Linked DNA regions of Macaca fascicularis. The protein of the gene in region 1 binds, or shares a complex with, the protein of each later gene. Links are inferred from orthologs where the notes say so. Each region holds a gene or a part of one and is shown in the gene's direction. Other genes may lie near its edges.

Evidence for each region.
Region 2: the proteins of USH1C (region 1) and MYO7A are in contact, whole or in part, in a crystal structure (PDB 5MV9), measured with the Homo sapiens proteins. The link is inferred for Macaca fascicularis from reciprocal best matches to the Homo sapiens genes USH1C and MYO7A. Residues at the interface, in NP_001284693.1 of Homo sapiens: Glu450, Pro456, Ile457, Val461, Val462, Ser463, Tyr466, Glu467, Lys479, Gly480, Pro522, Tyr526, Asp527, Asp528, Glu529, Leu530, Thr531, Phe532, Phe533; in NP_000251.3 of Homo sapiens: Phe1946, Val1953, Ala1976, Lys1995, Lys1996, Trp1998, Gln2017, Pro2020, Lys2021, Arg2024, Tyr2026, Ser2112, Ala2113, Phe2114, Phe2115, Glu2116, Val2117, Lys2118, Ile2128, Ser2161, Gly2163, Asn2164, Thr2165, Tyr2166, His2168, Leu2181, Glu2183, Thr2184, Ser2185, Leu2186.
Region 3: USH1C (region 1) and CDHR2 share a complex: the UniProt entries of both Homo sapiens proteins name them as parts of the IMAC/intermicrovillar adhesion complex. The link is inferred for Macaca fascicularis from reciprocal best matches to the Homo sapiens genes USH1C and CDHR2.
Region 4: USH1C (region 1) and ANKS4B share a complex: the UniProt entries of both Homo sapiens proteins name them as parts of the IMAC/intermicrovillar adhesion complex. The link is inferred for Macaca fascicularis from reciprocal best matches to the Homo sapiens genes USH1C and ANKS4B.
Region 5: USH1C (region 1) and CDHR5 share a complex: the UniProt entries of both Homo sapiens proteins name them as parts of the IMAC/intermicrovillar adhesion complex. The link is inferred for Macaca fascicularis from reciprocal best matches to the Homo sapiens genes USH1C and CDHR5.

The regions. Positions count from the first base shown.
Region 1 is NC_088388.1:48,256,067-48,259,584, forward strand, and holds part of USH1C (harmonin), read left to right. Parts: intron 1-117; coding exon 118-226; intron 227-318; coding exon 319-343; intron 344-548; coding exon 549-606; intron 607-917; coding exon 918-1,012; intron 1,013-2,799; coding exon 2,800-2,884; intron 2,885-3,518. UniProt on the Homo sapiens protein: Anchoring/scaffolding protein that is a part of the functional network formed by USH1C, USH1G, CDH23 and MYO7A that mediates mechanotransduction in cochlear hair cells. Required for normal development and maintenance of cochlear hair cell bundles.
Region 2 is NC_088388.1:76,025,931-76,029,448, forward strand, and holds part of MYO7A (unconventional myosin-VIIa), read left to right. Parts: intron 1-1,575; coding exon 1,576-1,689; intron 1,690-3,518. UniProt on the Homo sapiens protein: Myosins are actin-based motor molecules with ATPase activity. Unconventional myosins serve in intracellular movements. Their highly divergent tails bind to membranous compartments, which are then moved relative to actin filaments.
Region 3 is NC_088380.1:183,478,126-183,481,643, forward strand, and holds part of CDHR2 (cadherin-related family member 2), read left to right. Parts: intron 1-642; coding exon 643-732; intron 733-1,644; coding exon 1,645-1,770; intron 1,771-1,840; coding exon 1,841-1,987; intron 1,988-2,067; coding exon 2,068-2,143; intron 2,144-2,254; coding exon 2,255-2,370; intron 2,371-2,485; coding exon 2,486-2,719; intron 2,720-3,518. UniProt on the Homo sapiens protein: Intermicrovillar adhesion molecule that forms, via its extracellular domain, calcium-dependent heterophilic complexes with CDHR5 on adjacent microvilli. Thereby, controls the packing of microvilli at the apical membrane of epithelial cells.
Region 4 is NC_088394.1:20,694,455-20,697,487, forward strand, and holds the end of ANKS4B (ankyrin repeat and SAM domain-containing protein 4B), read left to right. Parts: coding exon 1-928; 3' UTR 929-2,530; downstream 2,531-3,033. UniProt on the Homo sapiens protein: As part of the intermicrovillar adhesion complex/IMAC plays a role in epithelial brush border differentiation, controlling microvilli organization and length. Plays a role in assembly of the complex.
Region 5 is NC_088388.1:522,036-524,721, reverse strand, and holds part of CDHR5 (cadherin-related family member 5), read left to right. Parts: intron 1-443; coding exon 444-536; intron 537-683; coding exon 684-785; intron 786-891; coding exon 892-1,002; intron 1,003-1,088; coding exon 1,089-1,259; intron 1,260-1,947; coding exon 1,948-2,038; intron 2,039-2,203; coding exon 2,204-2,301; intron 2,302-2,420; exon of another isoform or gene 2,421-2,479; coding exon 2,480-2,680; intron 2,681-2,686. UniProt on the Homo sapiens protein: Intermicrovillar adhesion molecule that forms, via its extracellular domain, calcium-dependent heterophilic complexes with CDHR2 on adjacent microvilli. Thereby, controls the packing of microvilli at the apical membrane of epithelial cells.

The DNA.
Region 1 (3,518 bases):
ATGGCATGGCCACCCTTCCCTTTTCCGGATAGCAGTCTGGGAGCATCTGGTGGTGAGTCTGCCCCACTGCCTGATGCTCCCTCCAGCCAGTGCTCCCTGCCTCTCTCTGTGGTCAAGGTAGGGGACGAGATCGTCCGGATCAATGGATATTCCATCTCCTCCTGTACCCATGAGGAGGTCATCAACCTCATCCGAACCAAGAAAACTGTGTCCATCAAAGTGAGACGTGAGTGAGACTAGAGCAGGACAGGGCTCCATGATGGTGGGAGGGAGGGAGGGTGGAGGAGCTGTCCTAACCCCTGTGCCTTTCTCCCACAGACATTGGCCTGATCCCCGTGAAGAGGTGAGAGGCCCCTCCTCTGCAGGCCGACTCTTCCCTGTGGGCCCGGGGTCCTGGTACAGCCCTGGGGTCCAGCACTCACCATGCCAGCCCTGCTCCTGGGCCAGTGGAGGCTGGAGGTTGTAGACATGGTGGATCTGGATTTGGGGCCTGGTTCCTCAAACGTCTCTCGCTAACCACCCTTCCATCTATTTTCCCTTCCCATCAGCTCTCCTGATGAGCCCCTCAAGTGGCAGTATGTGGATCAGTTTGTGTCAGAATCTGGGGTAAGGGCCAGACCTCCTGTGATGGGGTTTGGGTGGGGTCATCTTCAAGGATGGGCGGCCAGTCCTAAAGGGAGGGCTTGCTCTAGAGATGCACTCTCAGGGACTTCACACAGGCCCCCAGGGCAGCCAGCACACTGCTGTGGGGCAGTGGCCCTCAGCCAGGCCAGGCTGGTGCAGACACATCCCCAGGGACAGAATGATGATCTGGCTGGTGTGAGTTCAGCAGTGCTCGCCCTGCAGGTCCCACGAGCTCAAGAGGCCGCTTGCACGCATGTGGACACTCAGAGATTCTGCTTCTATCTCCCTTTCAGGGGGGGCGAGGCAGCCTGGGCTCCCCTGGAAATCGGGAAAACAAGGAGAAGAAGGTCTTCATCAGCCTGGTGGGCTCCCGGGGCCTTGGCTGCAGGTGGGTGGTGGGCATGCCCCGGGGTCATTCGTGGCCAGTGCACCCCAGCAGGCCCCTATTACCCTCCCCTTCCTCACTGCTGCTTCTGAGGAAACCTTGCCCACCAGGGGTGTGACTTGTCCATGGGTGATGGTATTTTTTTGTTAGAGACAGGGTCTGGCTCTGTCACCTGGGCTGGAGTGCAATGGCGTGATCATAGCTCACTGTAGCCTCGACCTCCCCAGCTCAAGCAATCCTCCCACCTCAGCCTCCTGAGTAGCTGGGTCTACAGAAACACACCATGACACCCAGCTAACTTTTAATTTTTTTGTAGAGAAGGAGTTTTGTTATGTTGCCAAGGCTGGTCTCAAATTCCTGGGCTCAAATGATCCTCCCACCTCAGCCTCCCGGAGTGCTGGGATTAGAGGCATGAAGCACCGCGCCCAGCCTTGGTGATGACACTTCCTGGTGCCTGATTTCCCCTCTGAATTTCACGACAGGCCTGTAGGGCCCGAGGGGCATCTCTAATAGATCCCAGTTTACGGATAAAGAAATTGAGGCCTAGAGGCAGAACCATGTTACCTTGTAGGTCCTTGAGTCACTGCAAAAGGAGCCTGTTCAGCTGGTCATCTCTGTCACAGTTCTCTTATCACTTATTACCTTGTCGGCTTCGTTAAGAGGCAGACGGGGAATCCAAACAGATACTGGGCCACACGGGGCTCAAGCGTGCAGGTTCCACCGTTACTCAGATCCCAGTTCCAGCCCTGCTTTCCTACTTAAGAGCTCTGGAACCTTGGGCCAGTTACTTAACCACTTGGAGCCTCAGTTTCTCCCTCTATAAATTGATGATAATAATTCCCACATCACAGGGTGATTGTGGAGAAAGTAAAGTACCAAGCTTAGTACCTGCTAAACAGTAAGCAGTTGGTAAATACTAGCTGTTATGATTTGAGTTATTCCTCTTCTTTCCCTTCATTCACATTTATTCCATGTTTTGTGCCAAGCATAAGTGATAAAGAGTCCCTCCCTTCTGGGAGACAAGAGCCTAATCTAGAAGCCAACCACATAAACAGTTATAATATAGGGTGATAGGGACTCAAATGGAACTACATTCTGTGTCCGGGATGGCAAATAGGTGCCATCTCTAATCAATTAGTAGGAGCTCCCTGGAGTGCTGCTTTGAAAAGGATTCTAAAGCTATATCCAGGCTTGAGGGAAAGAGTGCTGTGATCAGTGAGTGATTTCTGCCACCAATCTAGGAAGGAATAATAACAGTACATGTGCCATTCCTGTCGTAAATGTCATAGGAGCACTGAGAACCGAGCAAATAGCTTGGTCTTGGGATAGAATAAGGGATCTGAGCCAGGCATGGTGGTGTGCACCTGTAGTCGTAGCTAGTCAAGAGGTTGAGGTGGGAGGATTGCTTGAGCCCAGGAGTTGGAGGCTGTGGAGAGCTATGATCACACCACTGCACTCCAACCTGGGTGACAGAGCAAGACCCTGTCTCTAAAAAATAAATTTTTTAAAAAAGAGGATCTGCTGAAAACCTTATAGAAGGGATAGCATTTGGTTCTTAAGGAATGGACAGGAAAGCGTTAGAAAGGAAAAAGAAACAACATATGAGGTATATTAGGTGAGAGATTGGGTAGGAAGAATTACAAGGAGTTTTCTGTGGCTGTTGCCCAGGGTAGCAGTAGAAATCAGGCTGGACGGGGAGACAGAGGCTGAAGAGGTAGGCAGCCGAGGGCCTTCAGTCCTGAGTTCATGAGTGACCTGTATCCTAAGCACACATTTCCCACCTCCCACAGCATTTCCAGCGGCCCCATCCAGAAGCCTGGCATCTTCATCAGCCACGTGAAACCTGGCTCCCTGTCTGCTGAGGTGGGATTGGAGGTGAGTGACGCTGGGCCGGCCCCAGTGGGGGCCCACTGGAAACTGGGTCAGACTGTGATCCCGCGGTGACAGGGGCAGGTGCCTTTCCACATGGCCCTCTTTCGGCGGTCACTGATCAGGAGGAGCCCTACCCACCCTTCAGAGAAGGCTTCACAGAGTGGGGACATTTGACCCTTCTGCAGCCTTCCATAGCTCTGATGGTTGTTGGTCGTGAGCTTGGGAATGTCATAATGATAATCAAAGAGCGGACCTTCAGGGTCCACTTGCATCGGACATTGTTCCACGCCCTTTACACTTCACAAGAACGCTGAGGATTAAGTGCCACCATTATCCCCACTTTACATATGAGGAAACTGAGACCCAGAGAAAGTATATGATTTTTCTGAAATCATGTACCTAGCATGGTAGGACTGGAATTCAAACCTAGGTGGTCTCATCCCAAAGCAGGAACCCTTAACCTCTTCTTTGGACAAGTTACTTCATGTCTCTGTGCTTCAGTTTCCTTACCTATAAGATGGGGATAATAAAGCCTTTCTTCCAAGGTTGTTGTGTGGGTTAAAGTAGTTAATATGTATACTAGAACTGTGCCAAGCACACTGTAAGTGATCAGTGAATGTTAGCTATTCTGTTATGA
Region 2 (3,518 bases), about 28 Mb from region 1:
ATCTAGGTTTGTGAGGTACACTCAATGACTCCAAGATGTTCGCACAGAACTTATCTCTGGTGTTAAACAATGCATGACTGTAGCTGGTTCTGATGGGAATAAGAGGAGGCTGAAACAGTAATGAGTTGGTCTTGGACTCACTGAGTTCAGCCTTCACTGAGAAATGTGGAAATTGAGGCTGAAAGAGGTCAGCGACTCACCAAGGCCAGGCAGGGCCTGAAACCCAGTCTTCTGACTCCTAGCCCAGAACAGATTCTGTCAGACCATTCCCATGGGTTTACTTCATTGTGAATCAGTTTTATCAGCTGTTACATTTTTATTTGCAATTTGATATTAAGTTATATTCTTATTAGAATGTCTGAGTTCTTCCACACTCCTAGGGAGTTTGAGTACCATCCAAAAAAGAATACTTTTATTAGGATTAGAATAAAATCTAAGCTTGTATCCCAAGGCCAACAAAGGGCTTATGTATCCTGGACCCTGTCTACTTCTCTGAGCTCCCTTTTGCTCATTAGGTCCTGCCTCCTGGCTGTTCCTTCCTGCCACAGGGCCTTTGCACATGTTATTTCCTATGCTGGGATTACTGTCCCCTGCTTTTCCCTTGGCTGACTGCTTGTCACCCTTCAGGTGTCAGTTCAGCGATTCCCTCCACGGAGCAGCTCCATTGGCTACTGGGTCTAGGTTGGTTGGCCCTGTCATTCTCTACCACTGGCTTGTTTATTCCCTTGACAGCACTCACCCCAGTATCCAAAGTGATCATGCTGATCTATTTGCTCAGTTGTTTGTCACCACCTCTAACTTGAATGTAGACTCCATAATCACTGCTCAACCCCCAGCATTTAGATTAATCAGTGTTTTGTACTCAGTAGGTAATCAATACATGTCTGTTGAATCCATCAGTGCTGAATGTGGTTGTTCTCAGTCCATTTCTCTGACTTGGGATTTTACGTTTGACTCTCACGATCCCTTACTGAGTGAGTAGTGAGACCCAGGCCCTGGGCCAGATGCCACAGAAACACAAAACGACATCCTCCTGCGAGGTCAGGGCGCTCCCCACATGCCAGAAGACAATGTGGCTGAACCCTTATCTAGGGCCCAGCAAGGAGTGGTGTCCCTGTGAGGAACCTGTCATGATGATGATGAAAATCGGCCCTGGAGGTAAAGAAGGATGCAGCTCACCCACGGTCTGGGTGTCCTCTGGTGTCACCTCATGTTAGAGAGGAAGTAGTTTGAGTGGTCTTGTGTTTCTGTCTAGACTCCAGTGAATCTGTCATACACATGTAAAGTGTAGATCCATGGGGAGAGCTGGGCTTCAAGAGGCTTTGGCTCCCTCTGAGCCTCTGCTAACTCTTCTGTAAAATGGGAACATGGCTGCTCTAGAGGAGGGACTGATGACATTGCATAAATGGCCAGCCCAGGGCCTGCCCTGCTCCAGAAGGTTTCTAGTAAGTGTGAGTCCCCTTCTCTTCCCCCTTCTGTGGTTGGCCCAGAGCCTCTGGTGGTAGCAGAGGGATGCAGGGCTGCCTGGAAGGGGGCTCCCTGCTCACCTGGCCTGGGACTCTCTCTCGCCCATAGGGGGACTATGTGTGGATGGACCTGAGATCGGGGCAGGAGTTTGATGTGCCCATCGGGGCAGTGGTGAAGCTCTGCGACTCTGGGCAGATCCAGGTGGTGGACGATGAAGGCAATGTGAGTAGTCCCCTCCCTCCTCTTGCCCCATGCCTTGGGGGAAGATCTGGGCTGACAGCTGCCTCAAGGCAGGGAGATGATCTAAAGGAGATGGAGGCTGTGCCCGTGCCCCCACTTCTGCCTGTCAGATGCCTCCTTCCATGAGCCTTCCCCAGCACCCCAGCAAGAGGGAACCCCCTGCCTGCCTCAGGCTACTTGTTCTGTTTCCACAAGCACTTCAGTTCACTCTGCCTAGTGTTAGAGATGTGTGTGTGTATGGTGGGGTTTGAGTGCTGGGGGAGCAGGCTAGAAGCTCCTCAGACACGGAGGTGCTTTGGGGGCAGACTGACTGCATTCAAATCCCATCTCATCCACTTGTTAGCTGTGCAGACTTGGCCAAGTCTCCTTCCCTCCTGAGCCTCAGTTTCCTCTTTGTAAAATGAGGATAATAATAAGTATCTCAGAGGGCTGTTGACCCATACGTGAGATCACACGTGTAGAACACCTCAGTGAAGTTAGTGCTAGTCTGAAAGTTAAATGAACGCCCACAGCCTTACTGTATTGGGTTACTGACATCACATGAATCCACTGTCCACCTTGACACTGTCCCGGAAATTGGTCTCACAGATTAACCCTTTATCTGTGGCCCAAAAGGAAAGGGACCCCAGAAGTGTAAGTTTTCTAGGTAGTGATAGTGGGGCCTCGGAGAGGTCTGAAGTCAGGGGCCTGCCCTGGAGAAGGAGGCTGGTTCACATGCGGGCCCGCAGGGGAAGCTCTGGGGCCTCTGAGCATGTGTGCACATGTGTGTGTCACGGGGGGTATGCAGATGGGGTGCAGAGCACACAAGTGCAGCTTAGCAGGGATATGAAGAACCCAGGGAGATTCAGCTCTGCCATAATGTGGGCTGTGCCCCATGGTGTGCCAGGGGCTGGGGACATAGAACTGGACTGAGTACCTGTCTTAGCCTCCTGGTCTGAGGGAGAAGAGTCAGGAGAAAGAGGGTGCAGGGACTTGAAACCAAGGCTCTGCTGGGGATGAGAGGAGGGCTCAGGATCCTCGAGGCCAGGATTGACATGGAGTGGGCAGGAGCATCCCACATATTCCTGCAGCCCTCAGGTGCATCCCCTCAGTGTTTACAAGGCCCTTTAACCCAAGTTCTGTCTTTGGACTCTCATGGCATCTGTGGAAGGCAGGGAGGGAAAGAACTGTTACCCCATGAGGAAACTGAGGCACATAGAGGGACCACGCAGCCAGTCACACAGCTAGTAAGTGGTGGTGCTGGGATTAGAACCCAGGACTTCTGTCTTCTGTGCGTGAGTCTCCCCTGTCAGCATTATCTCAGTAGAACCCAGGACTTCTGTCTTCTATGCGTGAGTCTCCCCTGTCAGCGTTATCTCAGTAGAACCCAGGACTTCTGTCTTCTATGCGTGAGTCTCCCCTGTCAGCGTTATCTCAGTAGAACCCAGGACTTCTGTCTTCTGTGCGTGAGTCTCCCCTGTCAGCGTTATCTCAGTGGCGACTTTAGGGATCAGGTTCTGCTAATCACATTTTTGGCCCCTGGGCTGTAGAACTGAAGTGCTTCCAATATCGCTCCAGAGGCTCCAGTTCTAGGACCCTCTAGGAAGCTACTGTGAGGGTGCAGCCCCAGAAGGGGAGGCACAGGCTGGCTGGCAGCACAGACAGGCCTGCTAACCTGCCCAGAGCCCCCAGGGTGGGGACCAGGGACTCTGTCTGCAGGCTTGAGTTTCACCTGGGTCATGTTGCATGTCAGATGGTGTCCCGTAACTCTGAGTCACTGAATCCCAAAGGTCCCCTTCCGCTTCTCCTCCACCCAGGCCCTGAGAGTGGGG
Region 3 (3,518 bases), on another chromosome or scaffold:
TGGCAAAACCCTGTCTCTACTAAAAATACAAAAAAAAAAAAAAAAATTAGCTGGGCTTGGTGGTGGGTGCCTATAATCCCAGCTACTGGGGAGGCTGAGGCAGGAGGATCGCTTAAATCCAGGGGGCAGAGGTTACAGTGAGCCGAGATTGTGCCACTTCACTCCAGCCTGGGCGAAAAAGTGAAACTCCGTCTCAGGCAAAAACAAAACAAACAAAAAAAGGAAGTAGAGGTCGTGTGTACAGGAGCCCAGGAGCAGAGGGCTCCCAGAAGAAGCCCCCAGCTCTGTAGGGTGCTGTTTGAAACCCATGGCTATAGGCTGTAGAGAGCACATGGGATGTCTGAGTGTGCAGTGGCACTGTGAGGCTGGGCTCTAGAATGATCCCTCGTCCTGGTTCTGAGGGGCTCCGAAAATCAGAAGCCAGCTCAGGTGGTGGAGAGGCTGTGTGGGGCGGGGAGGAGGGAGATCCTCCCTGCCGCCCCGCACCCCCAGCTGCCTTCCACCCGCAGCCCTGGTGGGAAGGACAGGGGAACACTGTCCCCTGAGTGCACAGCTGAGGACACTGAAGCTCGGGGGGCAGTGACAGACGAGGGAGAGGAGGAGCTGGGTTTGAGCTGGTAAGCGACGGGTCCCTCCCTGCAGACCCTGCCCGTGGGCAGCGTGGTGTTCTCCGTGCTGGCCGTGGATAAAGACATGGGACCTGCCGGCATGGTCGTGTACTCCATAGAGAAGGTGAGTATGAAGGGGGCCCTGACCGCCTTCGTGACCGCCAGGGGGCAGCATATCCACAGACAACCCACGGGGCCCGAGCGTTGGGGTGGGGACGTTGGTCGTGCCTTGGCCCAGCCCTGGCCCCCAAACCTTCCTCTGGCCACCAGCCCCCCTCCCCGGAAACCTCACTTTGCCCACTTGCCTAAAGAGGGTGCCTGCTGCAGACCAGACCCTTCTTCCCGCCCGCCTGCTCCCAGGTCTTGTCCAGGTTCCACAGACAGTAAGGGGCGTGTGAACCCATTTCTCATGGAAACAGAGTTGCTGTTGATAGCGCCATTTACCGAGCACCAACCGCGTGCCTGGCACATACCATGCAGTCACCCCTTGGTATCTGTGGGGAATTGGCTCCAGGATCCCTGAGGACACCAAAATCCCTGGCTGCTCAAGTCCCTGGACATGCAATGGGGGTAGTATTTGCATGTAACCTAGACACATCCTCCTGTGTACTTTAAATCACCTCTAGGTTACCTCTAATACCAATGCAATGCAAATACTATGTAAATATAGCGTATTATGTATGCTATATTGTTTAGGGAATCATGGCAAGGGAAAAAGTTTGTACATCTTCAGTACAGACACAACCATTGTGAGCATAGCTACAGTTTTGATCTGTGGCTGGTCAAATGTGTGGATGTGGAACCCACAGAGATGGAAGGCTGACTGCATCTTATTGGATCCTCCTTTCAACCCACTGAGGGTTGTCACCAGCCCCATTTCCCAGAGCTGGAGACTGAGGCTCAGAGAGGTCATACGACCTGGTGCCAGTGGCGTGACTGGTCAGTGGTAGAGCTGGGGCCTTCCCTGTGTTGCTGAGTGGGATCCTCGGGGCAGGGCTGTCCCTAGGGAGACTGACCCAAGTCTGCTCTGCCCCAGGTCATCCCTAGCACTGGGGACAGCGAGCATCTCTTCCGGATCCTGGCCAATGGCTCCATCATCCTCAGTGGCAGCCTCAGCTACAACAACAAGAGCGCTTTCTACCAGCTGGAGCTGAAGGCCTGTGTGAGTGGGGGTGCCAGAGGGGGGGCCTAGGACCCACGGCGCTGGCTCACGGGCGGCCATCTCCCCGCAGGACTTGGGCGGCATGTTCAACAACAGCTTCACCATCCAGTGCTCCCTGCCTGCCTTCCTGTCCATCTCCGTGGTGGACCAGCCTGACCTTGACCCCCAGTTTGTCAGGGAGTTTTACTCGGCCTCTGTGGCTGAGGACGCAGCCAAGGTGCCCAGGGGACCTGTGGGGTATGAGTGGAAGCGGGAGGCGGGGGAAGTTTGAGGAGCACTGACCAGGCACCATTCCAGGGAACCTCGGTGCTGAAAGTGGAGGCTGTGGATGGCGACAAAGGCATCAATGACCCTGTGATCTACAGCATCTCCAGTGAGAATGGGGTGTCCCCAGGCCAGGGCTGGGCCGGGGCCGGGGTCAGTGCTCCGTCAGAGCCACTGGAGCAGCTGTTCCAGCTGTTCCACCTGTCTCCTTGCTTGCCAGACTCCACGTGGCCCGGCTGGTTTGACATCGGGGCAGATGGGGTGATCAGGGTCAACGGCTCCCTGGACCGTGAGCAACTGCTGGAGGAGGATGAGGAGGTGCAGCTGCAGGTCACGGTGAGCAAAGGCCCCACCACCCCTGTCAGAATCCTGCTCTCTAACCTCTGGCTTTTGGTCTCTCTGAGCACTGGCTCTCTGACCTCTGACCTCTGACCTCTGCTCTGTGCCTCAGGCCACCGAGACACACCTCAACATCTACGGGCAGGAGGCCAAGGTGAGCATCTGGGTGACAGTGAGAGTGTTGGACGTCAATGACCACAAACCTGAGTTTTACAACTGCAGCCTCCCAGCCTGCACCTTCACCCCCGAAGAGGCCCAAGTGAACTTCACTGGCTACGTGGACGAGCATGCCTCCCCCCGCATCCCCATCGATGACCTCACCATGGTGGTCTACGACCCGGACAAGGCAAGCGTGGTGGTGCGGGTGTGGGCGGGGGTGGCATGGTGGCCTACGACCCGGACAAGGCAGGTGTGGTGGCGTGGGTGTGGGCGGGGGTGGCAAGGTGGCCTACGACCCGGACAAGGCAGGTGTGGTGGCGTGGGTGTGGGCAGGGGTGGCTGGGGGAGGCCAGTGGAAGCCCGGATTGAGTGACAGTGCCATGTGGTGCTGGGTGGTGGTGCTGGTGGTGCAGGGCGTGGTGACGGAAAATGGGGGTGCTGTGTGCTCTCTGGAAACCTTCGTCGGTAAGCAATGTCATCCTCTGGGCAATCCATGTGGGGCTGAATAGGAGGCCGTGCTGAGTGGAGGCTGATGTTGAACGTCAGATGATGCTGAGTAGAACGTCATTGTCCGTGGTGATGGGTGGCTGACAAGGTCTCCTGGCATTGGGTGGCCATGATTTGGGTAGTCATGGGAACTGGAGGAGGCTGAGCAGTGTTGGGACAAGTGGTTTGAGGGTGTGAGGTGGGAGGGTGTTTTTTTTTTTTTTTGAGATGGAGTTTCACTCTGTTGCTTAGGCTGGAGTGCAATGGCCCAATCTTGGCTCACTGCAGCCTCTGCCTTCCAGGTTCAAGTGATTCTCCTGCCTCAGCCTCCCGAATAGCTGTGATTACAGGCGTGCACCACCTCACCCAGCTAATTTTTCTGTTTTTAGTAGAGATGGAGTTTCACCCTGTTGGCCAGGCTGGTCTCGAACTCCTGGCCTCAAGTGATCCACCCACCTTAGCCTCCCAAAGTGCTGGGATTACAGGCGTGAGTCACCATG
Region 4 (3,033 bases), on another chromosome or scaffold:
GCAGAATGAATGTGTTGCTCTCCTGGACAAGGCTGCCACTGCGCAGAACATCATGAACCCCAAGAAGGTCACCAGGCTGAAGGAGCAGGCTCAGAAGAATGCCAGGAGGCAGATCAAAGAGTGTGAGAGGCTCCAGGAGAAGCACCAAAATAAGATGGCCCGCACCTACAGCAAGGAGGAGTCTGGGACTGTCTCTTCTTCCAAGGGTACCTTCTCCAGGTCATTCCCTTCAAATGCTTCTGCTCCTGGCACATTCGGGTCACTATCTAAGGGCATTAAAGATACTTTCAAGATCAAGTTCAAAAAGAACAACGATACAGCAGAACAGGTGGGGAAGGAAGGCAGAAGTGGGCAGAGGAACGTGATGGAAGTGTTCAGAGAGGAAGAGGAAGACTCATTCTCAGGGGACTTCAAAGAGAAGCTCCAGTTGTCAGCAGAGGAGGACAGCAGTGTGCGCCATGAATCCATTCTCAATCGTCCAGGTCTAGGAAGTATTGTTTTTAGAAGGAACAGGATATTGAGTCCTGAAGACATCTCAGATAGCAAGAGGGAGTTGGGTTTTAAACTGCCCAGTGAATTGTTTCAAACACAAGGAACATCAGAGACTGATGAGGGTATAGCTGATGAAGAGGAAGAGGAAAACAGCCTCAAAGATGATCTACCATGGGGTGAGGATGAAGTGGAGTGGGAGGAAGATGTGGTCGATGCCACGCCCCTGGAAGTGTTCTTGCTGTCTCAGCACCTGGAAGAATTCCTGCCTATCTTTAAGAGAGAGCAGATTGATCTAGAAGCTCTGCTGCTCTGCTCTGATGAGGACCTTCAGAGCATACAAATGCAGCTGGGTCCCAGGAAGAAAGTTCTGAATGCTATAAACAGGAGGAAGCAGGTGCTACAACAGCCTGGGCAGCTGGTCGACACCAGCCTGTGATGGAGGGTTTTGGCCTGGAGCATTGGGGTGATGCTGTGGTCTGCTGGCAGCACTCCAGGCAGCACCCCCTCTTTACCCAATGCCAGATCACTGGGAATGGATTCTAGGGCATTGGAGATGCCTACTTGAGAGAGAGGCCCAAACTTTACTCTGGGAGGCCCATCCAAATAAATCTCCATGAGAAACTTGAGGAGACTTCATAACAAGAAAATGGCATTTCTCTTCAGTTATCTTATATATGTGTGTGTGTGTGTGTGTGTGTGTGTGTGTGTGTGTGTGTGTATTTTTTTTTTTTTTTGGAGATGAGGGTCTCACTCTCTTACCCAGGCTGGGTTGCAGTGGTATGATCATAGTCCACTGTATTCTCAACCTCCTGGGCTCAAGTGATCTCCTCCCACCTCAGCCTTTCAAGTAGCTGGGACTACAGGTGCACACACCCACACCTGGCTTATTTTGTATGTTTCAGTAGAGGTGGGGTCTTACCACGTTGCCCAGCCTGGTCTCAAACTCCTGACCTCAAGCAGTCCTCCCACCTCAGCCTCCTAAAGCATTGGGATTGCAGGTGTGAACCACTGTACCCAGCCTATCTTTTTGATACTTTTGAATAAAGAAAGGGTCATATGCGTGACAGGAAAATGAAAGAAACTTCCTTTACTTTTCTATCTCTGGATTTAAAATTATAATCTCATGTCATTATCCTGCTGCTTGCTTTCTGATCCATATAACCTGGGAATTCTAATTCTTTTTCTCTCCTGAGCTCTATGACTTTGCCTGGTGGTAGAGACTAAAGTTCTTTCCTGGCCTGAGGCTTGATGCCCAACTTAAATGCATCTAACCCTTTAACAAATGTGTACATGTTTACAAGTAATGGAAATGCATCTATAATACTCCTGCCTGAGAATAGAGACAGAGTGGCAGTGGGGAGAGTGAAGAAAGAAATAGAATACAGATGGTACTTGTTGTTGACTGACTTGTGTCAAATTCATATGTTGGCACTCTAACCCCTAATGTGACTGTATTTGGAAATAAGGCCTTTAAAGAAGTGATTAAGGTTAAATGAAGTCATAAGAATGGGACCCTAATCCTATAGGACTAGCCTCCTTTTTTCCTTTTTTTTTTTTTTTTTGAGATGGAGCCTTGCTCTGTCACCCATGCTGGAGTACAGTGGCATGATCTCAGCTCACTACAACCTCTGCCTCCCAGGTTCAAGCAATTTTCATGCCTTAGCCTCCTGAGTAGCTGGGATTACAGGTATGTACCACCACGCCTGGCTAATTTTTTGTATTTTTAGTAGAGACAGGGTTTCACCATGTTGGCCAGGCTGGTCTTGAACTCCTGACCTCGGGTGATCCACCTGCCTTGGCCTCTCAGAGCGCTGGGATTACAGGCGTGAGCCACGGCATCCAGCCTAGGACTGGTGTCCTAAGAAGAGGAAGAGACACGTAGGTAGAAGGGACACAGTGAGGCCACGTGAGAATGCAGTGAGAAGGCAGCCGTCTGCAAGCTGAGGAGAGGGGCCTCAGGAGAAACTAACCCTGCCAACACCTTGATCTTGGACTTCCAGCCTCCAAAGGTGTGAAAAAATAAACTTCTGTTGATAAACTTCTGTTGTTGAAGCCACCCAGTCTGTGGCATTTTGTTACGGCATTCCTAGCAGAATAATACAGTCCTAAGTAAGAGGGGTTGGGGAGGAGACCAAGAAAAACACAGAAAAAAAGTCTGGCCAACTGCAACTGATGAGTTTTTTAAAGGTAAACACCTACTGAAACTTAAGGAAAAAAAAAAAAAAAAACTAAGTTCTTTGGAGGGAAGATTTGATCGTAAAAGGAAATTTCACATTTTCATACTTATTATGTACACATGGTTTATTTACTGTTGTCTGTCACCATTGCTGCATATCCGAATACCTGTAGGTTCCATGATAGAAACTGACAACACTTGGCTCACTCCTGTAATTCCAGCACTTTGGGAGGCCCAGGCAGGCAGATCACTTGAGGTCAGGAGTTCAAGACCAGCCTGGCCAAAATGGCGGAAACCTATCTCTACTAAAAATACAAAAATTAGCCGGGCCTGGTGGCATGTGTCTGTAATCCCAGCTACTCCAG
Region 5 (2,686 bases), about 48 Mb from region 1:
GGCAGATGTTGCAGTGAGCCAAGATCACGCCACTGCACTCCAGCCTGGGTGACAGAATGAGACTCTGTATCCAAAAAGAAAACAAAGAAAAGAACTGGATTGTCTTTCCTCGCTTGAGATTCTGCTGGTTGCATCCCCAAGTACCTGCATTATTTTTCTGTGGCGCACCTGCCACCTCCTGGCTTTATAAAGTCCTTTTTGTCTGTTGTTGTAAGTCCTGCCAGGACAGGCACCACCGGGCAGAGATTTGTCTCTTGTGATCTCTGCATCCCAGCACCTAGAGCTGTGCAGCCCCCCTGCAGCCCCCCAACACCACTGAGCGAGTGGACGGATAGCTGTCGAGGGGTGCACCTCACTCACGATGGGGAAGGATAGCGTCGAGGGGTACACCTCACTCATGATGGGGAGCGGCTGTGGGAGAGGCTGACGGCCACATCCTGCAGGTGACCCAGCTGAGGGTGTTCGTGTCAGTGCTGGACGTCAATGACAACGCCCCCGAATTCCCCTTTACAACCAAGGAGATAAGGGTGGAAGAGGTGAGGCCAGCGAAGCTGCCAGGGCTGGGCAGGGGGTGCGGGAGCCCAGGGTGAGGGCAAGGGGCGAGTGGTGGCCGGGGGCTCAACCACAGCGGGGGTCCACAGGGGCCAAGAGTGTGGCCAGACCAAGCCCCTCTCCCTCCCTAGGACACTAAAGTAAACTCCACCGTCATCCCTGAGACAGAACTGCAGGCCAAGGACAAAGACAAGGATGACCTTCTGTTCTACACCCTCCAGGAAGCGACCGCAGTCAGTGCCGCCTGCCCTGCCCCAGCGTGAGCCCCTCGCCACTGACACCCGCAGCCGCCCTCGCCCTCCCAGGCTCTTAGGCTGTGTCCTCCCTGATCCTCCCCAGGGTGCCAGTGACTACTTCTCCCTGGTGGGTGTAAACTATCCCGCCCTGAGGCTGGACCGGCCCCTGGACTTCTACGAGCGGCCCAACATGGCCTTCCGGCTGCTGGTGCGGGTGAGCGGCTCACCCCAGCCCTGAGTCCCACATGCTTGAGGTCCCCCTGGCCCCAGCTGCTCCCAGGCCTGATCTGGCTGTTGCAGGACACTCCGGAGGAGAATGTGGAGCCCAGCCACACGGCCACCGCCACGCTGGTGCTGAACGTGGTGCCTGCCGACCTGCGGCCCCCCTGGTTCCTGCCCTGCACCTTCTCAGACGGCTACGTCTGCATCCAAGCTCAGTACCACGGGGCTGTCCCCACGGGGCACACACTGGTAATGGGGAGGGAGGGGCAGTGCCCGGGGCGGGGCCTTCTAGGCAGGTTGGAGGCAGGGACGGCCAGGATCAGAAGAAGGGCAGGGTCAGGGTCAGCGGGTGGGGCCAAGTTTGGTTGTGACTTTGAAACAAATACAGACTCTCCTTATAAACCAATCTTTCCCATCTTGAGGGAGCAAACCCTGAACACACAGAGAGGAGTGTGGGCCCCAGAGCCAGGCGGTCTCAGGGGCCTGGGGAGGTGGGCTGGGGCCCTGGAGTTCTTAAGGGATGGTGAGATCTCTGCCCTGCTCACAGTCACCACTAGGCCCACACAGGCTGTCTGCAAACCTTCACAGCACCAAGGCACCCGGGGCCACCAAACAGCACATGAGAGGCAGAAACGCAGACCCCGGGAACCCCCCGCTTCCTAAATGTCTGCTTAGCCGTCAAGACAAGCATCGTGCAAATGGCACTCAGTATCTTTGGGCAACTTATTCGTTAGTGAGGGACCCACAGGGGTGTGACTCACTGTGATACTGGGACAAGGGACAGTCCTAGACAGGCAGGGATGCCCGGCCACCAGCGGGACTGGGCCCCTCCTCAGCCAGCCCTGCCCTGGCTGACCTTGATGGGGAGCCAGAGGGGCCAGGTTGGGGCCATTCACCCCAGCCTCACGACGTGCCCTCCTCTCCACCATCCTTGAAGCCATCCCCCCTCGTCCTGCGTCCCGGACCCATCTACGCCGAGGATGGAGACCGCGGCATCAACCAAGCCATCATCTACAGCATCTTCAGTGGTGAGTGGGGCCCAGCCCTCAACAATGCCCCGGACCCCTCTCTGTCCCTGTCTCTGTCCCCACCTTGGGCTGGGGAAGCCCCAGGGGCACCTGCCAGCAAGGCAGAGCTGGCTGGGTCCCTGGGCCTCAGGAGGCCGGGACTGAGCACTTCCATCGTCCTCCCAGGAAATGTGAACAGTACATTTGTCATCCACCGAGACTCCGGCAACCTCACCATGGCCAGGAGTGTCCCCAGAGCCATGACCTTTCTTCTGCTGGTGAAGGTGAGGTAGGGACCTGCACGGGGGGCAGGGCAGTGGGGGCAGGGTGGAAGGTAGGGCGGGGGTCAGGGCGGGGGGGCAGGGCCCCTGCCAAGTCTGCATCTATTCTTCCTGAGCCCCAGGCTTCAGCACCAGCTCCACCGTCAACCCCACGAGTCACGGCTGCCTCCCCCGCCTCCAGGGCCAGCAGGCCGACCTTGCCCGCTACTCAGTGACCCAGGTCACCGTGGAGGCTGTGGCTGCAGCCGGGAGCCCGCCCCGCTTCCCCCAGAGCCTGTACCGTGGCACCGTGGCACTTGGCGCTGGAGCAGGTGTTGTGGTCAAGGATGCAGCTGCCCCCTCTCAGCCTCTGAGGGTCCAGGCTCGGGATCCGGAGTTCTCGGTAGGT